Linked DNA regions of Arabidopsis thaliana. The protein of the gene in region 4 interacts with the protein of the main gene of each other region in a pairwise test. Each region holds a gene or a part of one and is shown on either strand. Other genes may lie near its edges.

The links.
Region 1: the proteins of AT1G74370 (region 4) and AT3G13175 interact in a protein complementation assay, tested with the Arabidopsis thaliana proteins (one large-scale study listed by BioGRID).
Region 2: the proteins of AT1G74370 (region 4) and HS1 interact in a protein complementation assay, tested with the Arabidopsis thaliana proteins (one large-scale study listed by BioGRID).
Region 3: the proteins of AT1G74370 (region 4) and AT1G77350 interact in a protein complementation assay, tested with the Arabidopsis thaliana proteins (one large-scale study listed by BioGRID).

The regions. Positions count from the first base shown.
Region 1 is NC_003074.8:4,234,083-4,238,404, forward strand, and holds AT3G13175 (uncharacterized protein), read right to left. Parts: upstream 1,733-4,322; 5' UTR 1,499-1,732; coding exon 1,178-1,498; 3' UTR 993-1,177; downstream 1-992. Other genes in the region: ATSPO11-1 (Spo11/DNA topoisomerase VI, subunit A protein), read right to left, coding at 56-110; AT3G13180 (NOL1/NOP2/sun family protein / antitermination NusB domain-containing protein), read right to left, coding at 2,244-2,375, 2,448-2,544, 2,654-2,739, 2,847-2,918, 3,001-3,119, 3,251-3,358, 3,510-3,570, 3,674-3,733 and 2 more.
Region 2 is NC_003074.8:5,879,219-5,884,078, reverse strand, and holds HS1 (heat stable protein 1), read right to left. Parts: upstream 2,161-4,860; 5' UTR 2,114-2,160; intron 2,015-2,113; exon of another isoform or gene 2,003-2,014; 5' UTR 1,762-2,002; coding exon 1,622-1,761; intron 1,373-1,621; coding exon 1,183-1,372; 3' UTR 879-1,182; downstream 1-878. Other genes in the region: PMEI2 (pectin methylesterase inhibitor 2), read left to right, coding at 230-751; UPL6 (ubiquitin protein ligase 6), read right to left, coding at 2,947-3,013, 3,143-3,232, 3,325-3,396, 3,503-3,576, 3,685-3,765, 3,860-3,949, 4,039-4,209, 4,431-4,497 and 1 more.
Region 3 is NC_003070.9:29,068,080-29,072,991, forward strand, and holds AT1G77350 (keratinocyte-associated-like protein), read left to right. Parts: upstream 1-2,145; 5' UTR 2,146-2,284; intron 2,285-2,402; 5' UTR 2,403-2,417; coding exon 2,418-2,576; intron 2,577-2,744; coding exon 2,745-2,796; intron 2,797-3,190; coding exon 3,191-3,257; intron 3,258-3,375; coding exon 3,376-3,466; 3' UTR 3,467-3,820; downstream 3,821-4,912. Other genes in the region: AT1G77340 (Pentatricopeptide repeat (PPR) superfamily protein), read right to left, coding at 541-1,749; APPR6 (Tetratricopeptide repeat (TPR)-like superfamily protein), read right to left, coding at 3,904-4,912.
Region 4 is NC_003070.9:27,956,474-27,961,369, forward strand, and holds AT1G74370 (RING/U-box superfamily protein), read right to left. Parts: upstream 2,928-4,896; 5' UTR 2,714-2,927; intron 2,558-2,713; 5' UTR 2,513-2,557; coding exon 1,727-2,512; 3' UTR 1,613-1,726; downstream 1-1,612. Other genes in the region: AT1G74360 (Leucine-rich repeat protein kinase family protein), read left to right, coding at 1-1,438; XXT5 (xyloglucan xylosyltransferase 5), read left to right, coding at 3,375-4,748; AT1G74385 (uncharacterized protein), read right to left, coding at 4,252-4,497.

The DNA.
Region 1 (4,322 bases), on a different chromosome or scaffold from region 4:
GATTAGAGGACAAATTACTCAATACGATTCGGAAAATTTTGGGATTTTCTGATACCTTTGATCCTTTGAAGCAAATTAGTCGATTCTGAAATAGCGAATTTTCCCTCCATCTCTTTCGAGTTTCAAAACTGAAAAATGCAATGGTCGACGAATTTTTGTAGACGGGAAGAAAAGGGATGGGTGCGAAAAGCTTGCCGTTAAAACCTTCGAATTTAAACATGCGTGTCGTTTAGTTCCTACTTTCCATGACGTTGGGCCATTGGCATTTAGGCCCGATACGTAACTGACGTGTCATTTTAAAAACGCATGTGTTTTTAAACACGTTGGGCCGTTGGCTTTTAGGCCCGATCCGAAACTAGGCAAAGTGATTGTGAAAAAGATTCATGATAACAATCAAACCAATATAAATCGATTTATTCAGACTTGGAGACATTTTAGTGATGCCAATATAAAATAATCATGTGCACTAAATTTGAAATAATTAATGTGTATGGTAAACTAGATTAGAATTAGTTCTAGACTTCTAGTGGTCGAGATTTGTTCATAAGCTTTATGCTCGGACACGTGAGGAACATACCAAAATGTTCGAATCTATTATGCCATACACTTATTTTAATCATTTCTTCTCTATGATAGATTGCTCACCTAATTTATATATAATCTAAGAATATACTACTTAGCTTTAACGTATTTTATCCGATAACGAATTCATGATACCAAAAAAGTTCTAAAACAAAAGAGGCATCTTGTATTATTTATAGTATTTCTAACTAAAACACAACACTGATAACATTTAAATTGCTTTGTTCCGTTTAATTAGTAAACAAATGAAAAGCTGTCGCGTCGGTGGTTGGGTTTCATTCGGAAAGATTTAAAAGTAAAGCGCACGGATTTTAAGGTCGTTCAACATTTAAATTTTTTTTGAAAGTAAAATCATATATCAATGCAATGTGTAATCTTGTAACGTATAAACTAATGAGAGATACCTAAAGAAAAGAAGCCTCGCGCCTAAACAGAAACATAAGATTAAAATAAGTAATATAGAAGCATAAACTTAAGCAAGATTTTATTCCTCGTGAAAATATTACATTTTGTAATTTTATTTTCTCTAGTATTAAAAAAGGAACAACTAATTAACGGAAATACTTAAGGAATTAAGAACAGAGAGGTCTCATACTTAGTCAAGTTTGGTGAAGCTATCAAAGAGAATGTCTTCGTGTTGTCCGCCGACGACATAGTCAAGAATCCCTTCCGCCGCCACTTTTAAGCCTGCGCCTTCGCCTGGGATGATGGTAGACGAAACCGGGAGATCGGAGGTGCGTGCGAAGAAGAAAACGGCAGCGAGAAAGAGAGCCGTGGAGAGAAAAAGTGGCCAGAAGTAAGATAGAACGGTGAGGAAACCGGGAGAATAAGCGACGAGAGCTACGGTGAGGAGAGATAAAACAAAGGCAAACACGATTTGCAACTTGAACTTCAAAAGCTTCTCCCGGAACTCCATCTCCGATCACCGACAAAGATCTGTGAGTCTGTGACTGTTGTGTTAACACGAGAAAGATGGAGTGAAGAGAGATAGAGATATATCTAAAAGAGAGATAGTACAATGCTAACTCTCTCTCTGTCTTTCCTCTGAGTGTCTATACGTAAAGAAATAGGAAAGATTCTCTGTGACAAGGATAACGTCAAAATCTCAAGTTATTTTGTTTTTAAACGCGTTTGAAAATTATACTGTTTTTCTTCTAACGAAAATGATAATATATTTTTAAGATTTTTATGTTACTTTGTTCTGTGACTTGTATGAACATTTTTTTTTTTGTAAAGTTGTCGTAAAAGTCAAAGAATGAAACATTTTCTGACATAAATAGTAAATCGTACAAAGCTAAAATAATGATAAGAGAGATATTTTCAATTCAGTTATAATGTTGTCCGTTTTGCATGATTGAATTTTTAACTTTGGATTCAGGCCGACCAAAATATGGGCCTTTAAAAGCCCGATTTGGGTTGCTAACAGACGACTACTCTTTTGTTAGAACTTACACGAGCCGCCGTTTCTACTTTCTAGCTCTGGCAAAACGGCGAGGCATTTTCTTTAAACATATCAACATACAATTAGCAGCATCTCTACAAGTTTACACTTCTCTCATAAAACCCAACTCTACGAATAAAAGAGAAGGTGTTTTCATTTATCCTCTTCGTCTAATTGCATCCAAACTCTCAGCAGAGACAAATACAGCTTGCTTTTAACGTCACAAGGCTCGAACCAGACGAGCTGCAAATGCTCCATCTAGTGAGTGTTTCACTGGGTTTGATAAAAAGAAGCCTTGTGAGGTTACAAAACTCGACGGTACAAAACTGGTTACTGGATCTATGGTGAATTCCTGTGAAAGCAGAGAGACTATTTGTTAATATCAACATCTGAAGGAAAGCAAATGGATTATAAAGATTCTTACAGGATGTCTTAAGAGAAATGCTTCGACCCTTCCTTCATTTTCCTCGGGGTCTATGGAGCAAGTACTGTATACCAACACCCCACCGTGCTTCACCAGTCTTTGAGATTCAATCAAGAGTGTCACAGATAAAAGTATCAGATAAGTCGCATATTAGTGTTTCAGAATTAATCAAATGACTCATCAAAATGTATGTACAGAGTGCATACTTGGAGGCAGAATCAAGAAGCTCATCCTGCAGTTTAGTGAGCTCTAACATGTCCTCAAGTTTACGGTTCCAGCGCAAATCCGCTCTCTACAAAATACAGATTAATGGGAACAGGTTAATCAGATCAGGTCAATTCAACTAGCAATGTTAAATCTTGCTGGCGAAACAGTTAGATAAACTTTTCTCATGTTAACCTTGGAGAGGACGCCGAGTCCAGAACACGGGGCATCAAGCAAAACTTTGTCATATTGTACTTCATTGGTTTCCTAAAACACATTAAGTTGGAAGGAAGCATGTGAGTAGCTTACAAACTTGGAAACTTCAGATACTCAAATAATGTTAACTTACAGCAAAGACACGAAGATCAGAATGAATGGTTGTGATAAGTCCATCAACTTGGTGTGATTTTGCTGTCTCACCAAGAATTCTTAGCCGTCCTTCATTCACATCCATAGCATATATCATACCTATAATCGATTCGAGTTTGCCAGTTTGAGGATGGAATCAGTCAAGTATAGTAGAAAAGTTTCTCAAAATAGATAATTTAATTCAACATTAATGTACAATAGAGGAAAATAAGGGGTCTTTGTAATATTACCTTGGCCTTTCAAGCAAGATGCCATGAATAGGGTCTTTCCTCCAGGAGCAGCACATGCATCCATTATCCTCTCGCCTGGCTGAGGTTTCACCACTGAGACTATTAGTCCTGCAGTACCAGATGTGGGGAGATATTTAGATATCAAAAGAACAAAAGGATTTTGGATAAACTTAAATCTGTTAACAGCATGAAAAATTAATGAAGAGGAGACTGTATCTTTTCTCAGGAGCAGTCCAAATAATTACAAGACCAAACTGACCTGCACTCTCGTCCTGAACAGAACAGATGCCTTCTTTGAGTAAACCAGCTTGCACAACGGTCTGTTAAAGAAAAGGCCCATGATCAATTATGAAACTTATCAGTAAAAAAACTAGGATAAGAAAATTGCCAACAAGAGGACAATTCACGGTTACATTACAACACCTGCAAGCCTGTTTTGATGCGGACAAATTCCTCCAAATGTAAGGATAGCTCGTGTGGAACCTGCAGCATAGGAAAGCCATAATTGAAGTAAGAAACTAAGCATTATAAGAAACAATCATGTGCCTGGTTTTACACAAACACGATGATTTCAACTGAATAAAGAACGAGAAACATTAAACGAAAAAAACCTTTAAACTGTTTAGACGCTCCACAAGGTCTGCTCTTGTAATGTCCCTTCCCGTATTGGCCCTGATATTATTAGAAATAGTATTATCTGTCTGACAGCTAATAACTTATCTTTCCTTCTGTGAATACAAAATGTTATGGAGATAAACCTTAAGCTAAATCCAGGATCATTGTTATTCCATATCATTAGCTTTGTGGCTTCATCCAACCCAAGATACTTTACCCATCGTCTAACCATCCACTAGGAAGGAAAGGAAACAAAATGAGAGTTTCTTTCATCAAACAGGAATGAAGCCTTATCGCAGTTGTTCAGCAATACATAGTTGTTCAGCACTACATAGATATCCTCATAGCTAAAACCAAGTAATCTAGGAGCTTCACAAGTTCAAAGTATCGATTTCATACCACCAACTAGCTCTAGCTTCGAATTAAAACAGCATGGAAAGATGAGGCTGTAGCTATA
Region 2 (4,860 bases), on a different chromosome or scaffold from region 4:
AATCAGATAACTGTCTCTGCACTAATGCTAAGAATAGCAAAGTTTTCTCTCTCTCTTACATAAGGACTTGTGGTCTAACTAAGAATCAGAAAGAGTAACAACCCATTTCTATTATTAGTTCTAGTGGAAGCAATCAATCGCATGCATCTATAAATATGAATAGTCAGGCATAGTAAGGGAATAACTTAACCATCATCTACCAACGAACATAAGAAAGAAAGAAGCAAAGATGGCAGCATACCTGACGAACAGAGTTTTAATGTCTTCTCTGATGTTTTTTGTAATGACTGGTTCTTTGAACGCACAAGTGGCAGACATAAAAGCGATATGTGGAAAAGCGAAAAACCAATCCTTCTGTACGAGCTACATGAAATCCAACCCAAAGACCTCAGGTGCTGATCTTCAAACGCTTGCAAATATCACATTTGGTTCTGCACAAACAAGTGCATCAGAAGGTTTCAGGAAAATTCAATCTCTAGTCAAGACAGCAACCAACCCCACTATGAAGAAAGCATACACCTCATGTGTACAACATTATAAGAGTGCAATAAGCAGTCTCAATGATGCTAAGCAGAGCCTGGCGTCAGGCGATGGCAAAGGGTTGAACATTAAGGTTTCAGCAGCTATGGAAGGACCTTCAACATGTGAACAAGACATGGCGGATTTCAAAGTTGATCCTTCAGCTGTGAAGAACAGTGGTGATTTTCAGAATATTTGTGGCATTGTACTTGTCATCTCAAACATGATGTGAGAGTGGGATTGATTCAATCTCCCTTCATCATACTCATTAGACGATTACATTAAACAGTAATGCATAAATGTTACATATATAATCAAAGAACTTTTTTTCTCCAACCCACACATCAACAAGAACCTGGTTTCTTTTCAACTTGTTATTCCATATAACTCAACTCTATTGATAAAAGAAACTAAGAGACAACAACTAGTAATAGACTTATAACAAAGAGGAGTCTGAAATCAAACACTCTTAATAAACTCATGATCTTTTTACAGATCAAGTATAATACAACAGAAGGAAACAAACAAACAAACAAAAAAGAGAGAAATTCACAGAGAAACATGAGAACAATGCAGGAAAACTCAAAAGGAATATACTTTATTCAACATACAAGATGCATACCCGAGAAAAAGATCAATGATGAAAATGCTGCTACAAGATAATTAGAGAGAGACAGAGGTAGGCTTGTAGTCAATAACCAAAACTTTATCCAAGCTGCCAAGGAAGATGGTGGCGAATTCAACGTGAGCAGGATGAGCAATGTACTCTGCAACAGCTTCTTTACTCTCAAATGTGGATTCAAAGATGTGTGTGTAACCTTGATGCAGATTCTCAATGCTCACATCTTTTCCCCTAAAATTATACAGATCCAATAATTCAATAAGACAAGAGCAGATTCGTCGATTTAGTTGATTTAACTTTTCAAAAGATCATCAATGGAGATGGATTCTCTCTGAGGGAAATTAGATCAACACTAGGAAGGTCATGAATTTCCCCAAATTGCTTAGTTTTACATAATCATATTGAGTTGATGGAAGTGTTTTTCGGATCTCGAGCATATGTCTAACACTAGGAAGCAATTCAGAATCCAAATTTACTAACCAGTGGAAAGCTTTCATAGGTTCGATGAGATTGACGAGATTGGCGTAACCTTTGATGAGCTCTTCGATTTTCTCAGGACTAACCCCATCTTTGAAACTAGCAAGCAATACGTGCTTCACAGGTCCCTTTGCTTCCTCCATTTTTGATCCTTATCCCCTGCGAATGCAAATCTCCACTATTCCACTTATCAGCTCTCTAAAGTCTTAACTAAAAATGGACGGTCGAGATCTTTGATTAAAAGAGCGGATTTGCGACGTGCAAATACGATCGTCGGATTATTGTTTTCGTTCCAAAAAATTAAATAAAACGTCCTCAGATATAAACATTACCAGATGCTCCTGGTATACTCTGTATTGAATCTTCTTCTTTTTTTTTTCTTTTCTGTGCAAATTGAATTGAAGCTTTTTTAATTTATAAAGTGTTTGTAACAATTATGTTTACTTGATTAATCATGATAAGTGCGACAAAAAATGTATATAGAGATATTCTTACCACGGTGATAATAGAGTTGGACTGTCCAGCCGCACTTAACGCCGTTTTGCAGCCGTCCAAATAGCCTTTCTATAGAAATTGGTTAACACAAATCCATGAGATTGTTAGTGCATTTGAATCTTGTACATTCCGTCATATTGCCACAAACGCAAATCTGATCGCGCGTTCCATTTCTTGGGAGTGTGATTCAAGACAGAAGGTTTCAGTCTAAGTTTTACTTAGCACTTGGAGAGCCTTCATGACTTCACAATCAAGTGTCTAAGGAAAGTAAAGTTTAAATTTCATTTTGTATTTCTCGTTATTTTTCTGTCATTTTGTTTCTGTTTTAATAATTATCATATGACAAAAAAAAAAAAAAAAGGATATTCTTACCACTAAGTCACTAAAATGCATCTTTTTATAGAAGATATATGGTATGATGCAAATAAGTATCAAAATAATCATCTATGTTCTGTGTAACATGCATTAATTAAGCAAAATAATTTACAGCATTTAAGTTCCTCTTGAGACCAGTCTTATTTACCATTTCTTTTATTGAATTTTTAACCCAAGACTAACTCTCAGGAGCTTCCAAATAAAGACTTCCCTGTAATCACTTTTTTTTTTTTGTCACACTTTTTGAAAGCGAATACCCGAGAGCTGCAAATGAAACCCATTAGTCAAGTAATCTCTACTACATGTTCTCCTTCTAGATCCGTCTCTTAGATGCTTAGAGCCAACAAGCCTGCCTCAGTCTACAGGTTACCCGGTTTATACCATAACGAGGAATGCTAGAAAAAAGGGTGTCAATTTGGGGCCATTGAAGTCTGTGTTTAAGGCAGGAAGCTATTCCATCAGCTCAGATCAAAACCCGCTTCTGCGCTTATGGCGTACATCAATTTGGTCTCAAGTAGCTCTTTGCTGCATCATTAACAACAAGACATGCTTTATTTGCTTTTTCCAATTACAACACCAAGAGAAGCTATTTGGCAACAAAACAAGTCTCTTAGCTAAGCAAAACCAAAGAGTTTGTGTTATGAGAGGACAAACCTTTGATAGGGCGGAAGCTTAAGAAGATTCATACAAGTGGCTGATGTCGGTAGTCTATCAACTGATTCATTACTCGCACTACCGGCAGCCCTGATACACATTCCATCGAGGATGGATATTTTATGATTCTATTGTCCAGGGCCCATCAAAAGTCAAAACGATTGTGAGTCTGTGTATATTACCTCTGTATGCAGAATGCAGGTTCCAAGTATTTGAAACCCAGCAGTGGTCCTCGTGAGCAGCCTGTCACAAACCTGAAATTGAAAAATAGAGGTACCTCTTAGTTCCCTTAGAAAATTCATAGACTCCGGTAAATCATTGCGTACACAGACTGTAGTAGTAACTGCAAAGTTTGCTTACTTTAAGAACTTCTTCTGGTTTTCAGTTGAGAAGCTTTTCATAACTTCCCAGAACATATCGATCACATAATGTCCCTGTCAAGTGTCAACAACATAGCGATATAATCATATATAACAATACTCCAAAAGTGTCCCTACACTAATTCACAATGGCATTTCGGCTAACAGTGAAGAACCACTCACCGCGTGGTAGCCTCCAGCATAATTAGTGTTGTTTCGCAAGTCGTCTATATCCAAACTATCAACTGAACCAGATATGAGAACCTGCAACCAAAGCCCACAAAGGTAAAATTTCTCTCTTCATGCTCCTCGAGGGAACAACTAACAAAGCAAGTATAATTATACACTTAATTGGCACCTGAAGCTCATGTTCATTGAACATGTCGATCCATTCTTTCGGAATGAGTTGCTGAAACCCCCTCAAGAAATGAGAACTCTGCTGGCGTATCTGCAAATGAGATGATATCAATAGCTGTTGATTTACAGGGTGACCTCAGGTATGCCAAGATAAATGAGAGGTAAGTGGTTCCCCAGTACCTGAAAATTTAACCGATGATTGGAAACCAGATGAATGAAAGTTATAACATTCTCATTTGTAACTCGCATGTCTTGGCCCCCTGGAAGTAGCTCTTCCTCTGTCCTCTCTCCATATTCATTATTCAAAATAACAAAGTAAAGCTCCAAGTCTGAGATATCACCCTTATAACGCTGCAAATATCATAATGAATACATAAAAAGGTGTATAAAGCTAAGAAGCAAAAAAAAAAAAAAAAAAAAGAGCCAAAATTATCGTAGGTAGGTAAACAAACAAATTTCAGTTTCGAAACAAAAACAAACAAACAGATTTCAGCATTCTCGCACATCTATGCTAGCAACTATCTCCCCGTTCTACAAAGCAACAATTAAATAGAATGTTCAGCAAAACTCACCTTCAGAAATATAAGGTGCCTATACAACTCAGGATCCAGAGAAGGCAAATCGTTCAAATAGTTGTACCTAGCCAAAGAACAATAGAAGTTTCACAACATGTTCAAAAAGTCTATGCGGGCTTAAAAAACGAATGAAGTGACAGGAAATTGAGGTAGAAATTAAATTTACATACTTTTGTTTCAGTTTGCTGAGGAAAAACGTTGCAAATGGTATATCAACAAGAATCCCTTCAAACATAGCCTGCAACAAGATAACGGGAAAAAACAATTATGAGTCTTATATAACAGATGAAAAGCAACTTTAAATAACGACAAAAGGACAAATTCAATAATTTTTCTAGGAAAACATCAAGTTATACGCCTACTAATTCTATTTGCATGAAAAACATTGCGAGTAGTGTATTAAAAATCAAATGTGGCGTACACTGTA
Region 3 (4,912 bases), 1.1 Mb from region 4:
GTAGAAACTTCAATTACATTTGTCTATGGTTTCATTTTGGCACTAGGACATACAAAATTATATCTTTGTAACAAAAAAAAAAAATACATAGGACATAACATCAAATACCAAATTTAGAATGTATAACCAATCAGAGTGACTAAAGTGGTTGGTAAAATGTAATCAATCTTTCCCTTGAAGACCTTTACTAAGCATCGATCGTGTATGAGAGCTAAATTTGCAGCCACTTTTTTCCATTACTTGGAACAACTCACAAAACCCCTCTACAAAGCCCTGTTTAAGCACACCATCAATGAGGATTTTCCAAGCGATTTCATCATCGCAATATCCACATCGAAGCAGTTTTTCGAAAACCGAGTTGACTCTCTCTTTTTCTCCTTCTTCACACAGCTTGCAAATCAACATTTTGCAAAACTCTAGTTGTGGTGAATGACCATTACATATCATATCTTCCACAACTTTTGCAGCTTCCTCATACTTTTGCAGCTTGTAGTAACATCTAAGAAGACCATTACAAATCTTCTCACTTAACGATATTCCTCATACTGTACGCTGGTTTGGAACCAATCCACTTTCTTCCATCAAACTAAGCAATCTATATGCACTATCTAAATTACCAGAGCTACACTGTCCAGCGATCAATGTATTATAAGTTATCAAGTCTGGAACCAAATTCTGCTCTAGCATCTTACTAAGCAGTCCCATTGCTTTGTGCACATTCTTCTTACAAAAACCTTTGATCAATGCATTGTATGTAATAACATTTGGCATCAACCCATTCTCCAACATATGTTCTAGCAATCCACTTGCTTCATCAAGTGTATCTCCACTACAAAAACTCTGAATAAGCACAGTATACATACAATCATCAGGCTTAATGCCACTCTCTGACATCTGCTTAAACAAATTCATAGCTTCTGACTTCTGTCCTGATCCACACAAAGCATCTATAAGCACTGTGTATGTTCGAACATTAGGACAACAATTGTCATCTTTCATTTTCACCAATAAGCTCAAAGCTTCATCGATCTTCTTTGCTTCAAATAGACCATATATAAGCTGAGTGTAAGAAACCTCATTTCTATGGCAACCGTTCTGAGTCATCTCCTTAAAAACCTTAAAAGCCGCATCGACTTCTTTTCTTCGACAATGTCCGGTAATAAAAGAAGTATATGTGAAATAATCAGGATCACATCCAGCTTGAATAAGCCAAGTCACATACTGCTTTGCTTCTACTACATATCCAAGCTTACAATACCCATTAACCAATGTGTTAAACGTGTATATGTCTGGAGAAACCAAATCCTCCAACATTTCAGTATAAAGTCTCTTCATTTCTTCGACTAATCCAAATCTAGCTAATGAACTCAACAGATTATTGTAGCATTTAGGAGTAAGTTTATATTTAATCTCGAAGCTATCACCTTTACGCATTGTCCTACAGAAATCAACAACAAACAAAGCGTCTCGCACTGAATTGCAGCTCTTTATCATTAAGATCGTGATCTTAGGCACCTCATAAGGTATTTCCTGGCTGCAGAGAAGAGTAACCAAAGACGCGTATGAAGTAACGTTGTGCTTGAAGTTTGGTATCCGAGAGATCCAATCCGAGAAACTGAGAGCTGTCTGAGGATCAAGATTGAGTGAAAACAGAGAAGAGACATGAGAAGGTGTATAGAAGGGGTAAGAGATTTTAGAGATGGATTGTTCTGCCAATTTGGTTCGGAGACAATTGAGAGTAATCGGCATGGAAGATTAGAGGGGTTAGACTCTGCTGTTGAGATAGTACTTGTAACTTTGTAAGCAGAGATGCGGCGGTGGATAATGGCCTTCGACGGAGAAGGTAGCCGGAAGAAGTAGAAGGAGATTTGGAAGTAGTAATCTCATCGTCGGTTGATTCGACGGTAAGTTGTACTTCCAGTTCAAGCAACAGTAGGGTTTAGGGTTTATGAATCAGTGAATGCAAGCAAAACCTCAAACCCGGTACAATGCTACGTTTGGTATTCTGCATTGGTTTATTAATTAAACCCAAACTCAAGTGGCATGTACAATACTACGTCAGTTGTTTGTATAAAACGACAGCGTTTGAAACCGCGACTGGTCCGTCAGGGTATATATGTAATATATACGATAAACATGTATTTTATGGTCAATGCGAATTCCCAATTTTCCCATTTCTTAAAATCTCTTCTCGATCTCCTTTGTTTCCGATTTGCCGGTCTTCGAAGTGGAACTGTGGCAGTGACGAGCGTGAGGAGAAGATCTGATCTTTAGGGCTTTCAAGGTAACTCATCACATTCTTCTATCTGTTGATTTCTCGTTTTCCGACCAGTGGATCAATCGATCAGTTTTGTACGAATTCGTGTCTGATTATCTGTTACGGTCTTAATTTGATTGTTTAGTTTGGATTTAGAAGCATGGCAGGAGCTGTTGGAACATCAATGTTAGGGTCTCTTATTGTGTTTACAGTGATCCTCTCGCTTCAGGAAATTTACAGAGGAAAATTAGCTTCTTCAGAGCTGTTCACGATCCTTGGTGGATTCACAAGCTCTCTCCTCTTTTTGTTTTCTCTCACTGTAAGTTCCTTAGAATTCCTCAACTTGATCTCGTCTTCATGGAAATGCACTACCTTTACAACTCCAATGTTGATCTGTGTCGTTAAATTTGAGATCTTTTGTTTTCTTCTCGAATTCATCTACATTTGTTGTTGACAGTTTGGTTGATGCGGTTTCTTTTACTTTCAGTTCATTGGAAATTTTCAGGAATCTTCTGGCATCAAGAGTGGTTGGGGTGCAGGTATGTCCTTGCTTCTTCATGAAATCAAATTTGTTCATACGATCAAAACCATTGGGTGTCTACTCTACCCCATTTTGTCTTCCACTTCAGAAGTTTGAGGGCTTAAGAGTGGAATTTTTGAATCTTTGATGATGATGCTCTAAGTTTACTTTCTGATAACATATTACGAAAACTCTTACTTTTATGTGTTACAAATACTCTTTTAGTGAATCAGTTGTTGGAACCAAATTTTTTTCATTCTTATGTCTTTTTCTGTATCACCTATATAAGAATCACAGTGATAAATGGCTCGAATTTGTTTGCCCCCTCCTGCTTCTGCTGTGTGAAAGTGGGTATACTCATTACTCAACAAGGGTTTGCAATGTATTGAAGCCAATTTTTGTTTCCATGGCAGTCATTCTTGCAGAAATCATAGCTCTTATCGCTGCTGGCACGGTTCATCGGGTTTGTATCACAACCTGGTAAGTGGAAATTCACTAGTTCTACTTGGTATATCCATTTACCCTGTTTAATTACTTCATTCCTCTCTTGCTAAAAGCGGTGTGGTGATTGTGATGCTGTTTCTTGATCTGCCTGCAGTTTCCTGTTCTCTGCTGGGCTATTGTACGAGGTGAACAAGATCTCTGGATACATGCTATCCAAAACCGAGTCAAAGTCTAAGAGACACTGAACCTGATAATGGAATTGATACGGCTTATTATTCTGGACTTAGATTTGTTTGGCACTTGAAGATGCAAAAACACTTTCAACATCATGAATTGTGATACTTAGAAACCCTAAATTCAAAATCCACATCTTATGCTTGATGTGAGTATTAGGTCTGTTTCCTTTGCAGCTTATAATCATAGAGATAATCATTTTAGTTGTGTCTTATGTTCTTGGAGAAACTGAATTGTGTCTTTTGGCCTCGACATCGTATCATCCGCAACCAGACACATCAAATGGTTTGTATCATCTATATTTTAATATCTCATGTATCGAAACCGCAACAATTGCTGATTCCAATTTAAATTACAACTTTACCAAGGTAAATGGAGCCTGAGCCAAATGCTTAGGATCAGCTGTTGTTAGCGTACTAATCTGTGGTTCACAGGAAATCTAAGAAAGTCAATCACACAACGGCTCATTGACCAAAACGTTCATCTTCTCATTAAGGAACTTGAGCACATCTTCTCTCTCTTCTTTGATAAGCAGCTGTCTTAATCTACCAAACGTTACACCCGATGGTCGAATCCCCATCTCGATCATCTCCTCTAACAAAACACAAGCTTTCTGAGTGGTACGCTCCTCGCACAACCCATTAATAAGAACCGAGAATGTATGCATACTAGGGAACACCCCTTTCTTCCTCATGTATTTCCACACTTTATCCGCTGTCTCCATCTCTTTCTTTTCACAAAACATCTTGATCACCATCGTGTAAGTGTCTGCATCTGGTTCACACACTTTAATCATCTTCCTAAAGACATCAAAAGCTTCGTCTTTCTCCCCTCGTTCTATTAGATGGCGTAGAATGATGTTACATGACTTGGAGTTAGGCGTCACACCTTTACTCTTCATTTCTTTCAAAACCCTATACACATTCTTCATCCTATTTGCTTTGCAAAATGCACCGATCAATGAATTGAAAACTGCTACATCGGCTTTCATTCCACTTCTTTCCATCTCGAGGAAAGTATCAACCGCCTCTTCAAGCCGGTTCTCAGTTCCATAAGTATGTACAAGCACACTATAGATAAAAGTGGTCGGCTTGCAAATGCTTGGATCCATGCTCCTCACAATGCCAAGAGCTTCATCAACTCTTCCAGCTTTACAAAGTATGTCAACCATTATACTATACGTCACTATATCCGGATGACAACCCGCATCAATCATTTCCCGGAAGACCTCTCTTGCCTTGGGCAAGTTGGGTTCTTTCCCCCATCCCTCAAGCAATATGCTATACGTTTTGGAGTCAGGCGTAAAGCGATCCCTCATATTTTCGAAAACTTCCTGTGCTTTCCTCACATTCTTGGATTTACACAACGCACTCAACAACCCGTTGAACGCCACAAGATTCGGCGGCAAATCATACTTCTCCATCACATTAAACGCGTAAATCGCCTCATCCACTTTC
Region 4 (4,896 bases):
TTTCTCGGGCGAGATTCCTCAAGAAATCGGAAATCTGAAGTGCCTGCAGAATCTTGATCTGTCTTTCAACAATTTCTCTGGAAACTTTCCAACGAGTTTGAATGACTTGAATGAGCTGAGTAAGTTCAACATCTCATATAACCCTTTCATTTCTGGCGCGATACCAACAACAGGACAAGTAGCAACCTTTGACAAAGACTCCTTTCTTGGAAATCCGCTGCTGCGGTTTCCTAGTTTCTTCAACCAATCAGGGAACAACACGAGGAAGATTTCCAACCAAGTCCTAGGAAACAGGCCAAGAACTCTTCTTTTGATTTGGATTTCCTTGGCTCTTGCATTGGCGTTTATTGCATGTTTAGTGGTATCAGGTATTGTACTTATGGTTGTTAAGGCTTCAAGGGAAGCAGAAATCGATCTCTTAGATGGGTCGAAAACCAGACATGACATGACTTCCAGTTCAGGTGGATCATCGCCATGGCTATCAGGAAAAATCAAGGTCATTCGCTTAGACAAATCAACTTTCACATACGCTGACATTCTGAAAGCAACCAGTAACTTCTCTGAGGAGAGAGTGGTAGGTAGGGGAGGCTATGGAACTGTTTACAGAGGCGTATTGCCTGATGGAAGAGAAGTTGCAGTCAAGAAGCTTCAGAGGGAAGGCACAGAAGCAGAGAAAGAGTTCAGAGCTGAAATGGAAGTTCTAAGTGCCAACGCATTTGGAGATTGGGCACATCCGAACCTCGTGAGGCTATATGGATGGTGCCTAGATGGGTCAGAGAAAATCTTGGTGCACGAATACATGGGAGGCGGGAGCTTAGAGGAGCTCATCACAGACAAAACAAAACTTCAATGGAAGAAACGTATTGATATAGCCACAGATGTAGCAAGGGGATTAGTGTTTTTACACCACGAATGCTACCCTTCCATCGTTCACAGAGACGTCAAAGCCAGTAACGTTCTTTTGGATAAACACGGGAATGCGAGAGTGACGGATTTTGGACTAGCAAGACTCTTAAATGTAGGAGATAGCCATGTGAGCACAGTGATTGCAGGCACAATCGGGTATGTAGCTCCCGAGTATGGACAAACTTGGCAAGCCACCACAAGAGGAGATGTTTACAGCTACGGAGTATTGACCATGGAACTCGCGACGGGTAGAAGAGCTGTTGATGGAGGAGAAGAGTGTTTGGTCGAATGGGCAAGACGTGTAATGACAGGTAACATGACAGCCAAAGGTTCACCAATAACCCTGTCAGGGACCAAACCAGGGAACGGAGCTGAGCAAATGACTGAGCTACTAAAGATTGGTGTGAAGTGTACAGCTGATCATCCTCAGGCAAGACCAAACATGAAAGAAGTTCTAGCTATGTTGGTTAAGATATCCGGTAAAGCAGAGCTCTTCAATGGCTTATCTTCACAAGGTTACATAGAAATGTAAAAATCTTTCTTTCTTTTCTTCTTTCAGATTTATTATACAGAACAACAGAGTTTTCTTCTTCACCATTTTTCGTTTCATTGTTTCTGATTCTTCTTGTACACAGAACCTCATTGTTATCAGACAGATAGGGATAGAGAAAGGTAGTTTTGTTCGCAATGTACAGAGACACAATCTGAAAATAAAGATCTTCTCTTCTTCTTGTCTATATTGAGTGTAAACAACGTTGGCTCTATCTCGTGTTTCTTACAAGTCAGGAAACATACAGGAAGAAAGAAACAGTACAATGAGTCAGGTTGCAATCTCTCTGATCAGCCAGTTTAAGCTCGGGAAGGCAAAATAAAGGACGAGAAACGACGGGACAGCCAAAGCAAACGTAACAAAGAAATAAACCCCGAGAACTGCAGCACTCACAGGGATTGCATATAAAGCCATCAACAGGAATATGACTACCAGAGGAAACTTAGCCAACAAATGAGCAACAAGAGCCATTGACTTACGTACCGAGTCATGGAGCCTCCCAGTTCTGAAGAATCCTCTGGTCACACCATTCCACCAGCTGCGATTGTCCAGCAACCCTTCATCACCCAAGGCGGTATTACTCACTCCATCACACCTATTTCTCAAGTCTCTCTGCCCTGAAGCAACCCTTTTGTTGTCGCTGGGTGCCTCCGATCTGGAGCCATTCATGCTTTCTACCATCCACAGAAGGTAAAAGTTCTTGGAAGGAAATCTGATGGTTCCATTGCAAACCAGCCTTAAAGAGAGAATATTGCACCAAGGGCAAGCAACGAAGAAGGGAAGCTGGAATGGTAAAGCAGAGGATTTGATGACAATGGCACGTTGAAGCCCTAAGAGACAGTACTTGCAGATTGTATGACCACACCATAAGACATAAGGTACATTCTCAACAACGTTGAATGATTCCCAGCAAATGGGACACTCCAATTTTTCTTCCTTTGTTGTCTTTCTTCCATCTCCTGATCTATCTAAAGTAGCTCTTCTTGGTTTTGTAGCAGCTTCTTCTCCCTTCGATATAAAACCTTCTCTGATCGATTTTGAAGCTAAATTCCACATAGCAATGGAGGGATCCACAAAGATAATCACTTTGAATCTTTCTCTCTGCAACAAGAAAATCACACACACATACACTACATAATCAGATATGAGATTTACAATCCAACCCCCAAAGATTGGACCGAGAACATACAAAAAGTAACGAACTTGATGAAACCCAAGAAATCATTAACAGAATTACAGAAAACGAAATACACTTACAAGAGTTTATCCGGTCATGAAGATGAAGATCATTGCAAAAACAAAAAATGCAACAGCTACGTCGTTGAGTTATATAATATCTCCGAAGCTCTGATGTAACCAGCGAGAAGAAAACCGGCTGAAAAAGAGACACGCGTCGTAAAACATGGTGACTCTGAAACGCCTTTCAATGTTTCCGCCGCCCCCACCGATTTCCTCACCTTATCCGTTTCTGTTTTCAGGTTTAACTACCAAAACGCATCGTTTCACTATACCGCCAAAATTAAACTACCGGTTTAGTTCCGTAATTTTCTATTACCGAAATCGGTTAAAGTAAAATAGTAGTTGTCGGTGAGAGTGAGCTGTACGCGTTTCTTCTTCTCCTTGTGCGCTTTCTGGATCGAACGAAGCATTTTCCTCCGACAATATATTTTTAAGTAATGACAATGTTTCCGCATTATTGGGTTTAATTCCATTTTTAAATTAGGGTTCTTCAGATCGACAAATCTTTCTCTTTCTCTTTCCCCGATCGGAATCATGCTAAAGATCTGAACTTTTTCTCAGATCCGTGAATAAGTAAGTACGGAGAGACAGAAACATACTCAGACTGATCTGAGGAAAACAAAGTTGATGGTCGCAAACCTGTAAGTGAAATCTATAGAGAGAGACGTTGAAGAAGAAAATGGGTCAAGATGGTTCGCCGGCGCATAAAAGACCATCCGGAAGCGGCGGAGGACTTCCGACGACGACGTTAACCAACGGTGGAGGAAGAGGTGGTCGTGGTGGTTTGTTACCTCGAGGTAGACAGATGCAGAAGACGTTTAACAACATCAAGATCACAATTCTCTGTGGTTTCGTCACAATTCTCGTCTTACGTGGCACTATCGGTGTTGGTAACCTAGGAAGCTCAAGCGCCGATGCAGTTAACCAGAACATCATTGAGGAGACTAACCGGATTCTAGCTGAGATCCGATCTGATTCGGATCCAACCGACTTGGATGAGCCTCAGGAAGGTGATATGAATCCCAATGCGACGTATGTTCTAGGTCCTAAGATCACGGATTGGGATAGTCAACGTAAGGTATGGTTGAATCAGAATCCTGAGTTTCCTAGTACTGTCAATGGCAAAGCTCGAATCTTGCTTTTAACAGGATCTCCTCCTAAGCCTTGTGATAACCCCATTGGTGATCATTATCTTTTGAAATCTGTGAAGAACAAGATTGATTATTGTAGGCTTCATGGAATTGAGATTGTGTATAACATGGCTCATTTGGATAAGGAACTCGCTGGCTATTGGGCAAAATTACCAATGATTAGGAGGTTGATGTTGTCTCATCCAGAAGTTGAGTGGATCTGGTGGATGGATAGTGATGCTTTGTTCACTGATATACTGTTTCAGATCCCTTTGGCTAGGTATCAGAAGCATAATCTAGTGATTCATGGTTATCCGGACTTGTTGTTCGATCAGAAGTCGTGGATTGCTTTGAACACAGGTAGTTTTCTGCTGAGGAATTGTCAGTGGTCGTTGGATTTGTTAGATGCTTGGGCGCCTATGGGACCTAAAGGGCCAATTCGTGATGAGGCCGGGAAGGTATTGACGGCTTATCTGAAAGGTAGACCAGCTTTTGAGGCAGATGATCAGTCAGCATTGATCTATCTCCTGCTTTCTCAGAAAGATACATGGATGGAGAAAGTGTTTGTGGAGAATCAATACTATTTGCACGGGTTTTGGGAAGGTTTGGTTGATAGGTATGAGGAGATGATAGAGAAGTATCACCCGGGATTGGGTGATGAGAGATGGCCATTTGTGACCCATTTCGTTGGGTGTAAACCGTGTGGTAGCTATGCTGATTATGCAGTCGAGAGGTGCTTGAAGAGTATGGAGAGGGCCTTTAATTTTGCAGACAATCAAGTGCTCAAGCTGTATGGTTTTAGCCATAGGGGATTGTTGAGCCCCAAGATTAAGAGGATCAGAAATGAGACAGTCTCTCCTTTGGAGTTTGTAGACAAGTTTGATATTCGCAGAACGCCAGTGGAAACCAAACCACAGAACTAGAGGAACACAAGGAGAGGATAGGCTCAGCTCTCATGAGATTGTGGACACGTATAGGTAAATTATATGACACTCACAAATGCAAAGCAAATTTGTTTGCCTGTACTTGCTACTTTACTGTTTCTTCTGCTTCTCTTTTTTTTGTTTGTTG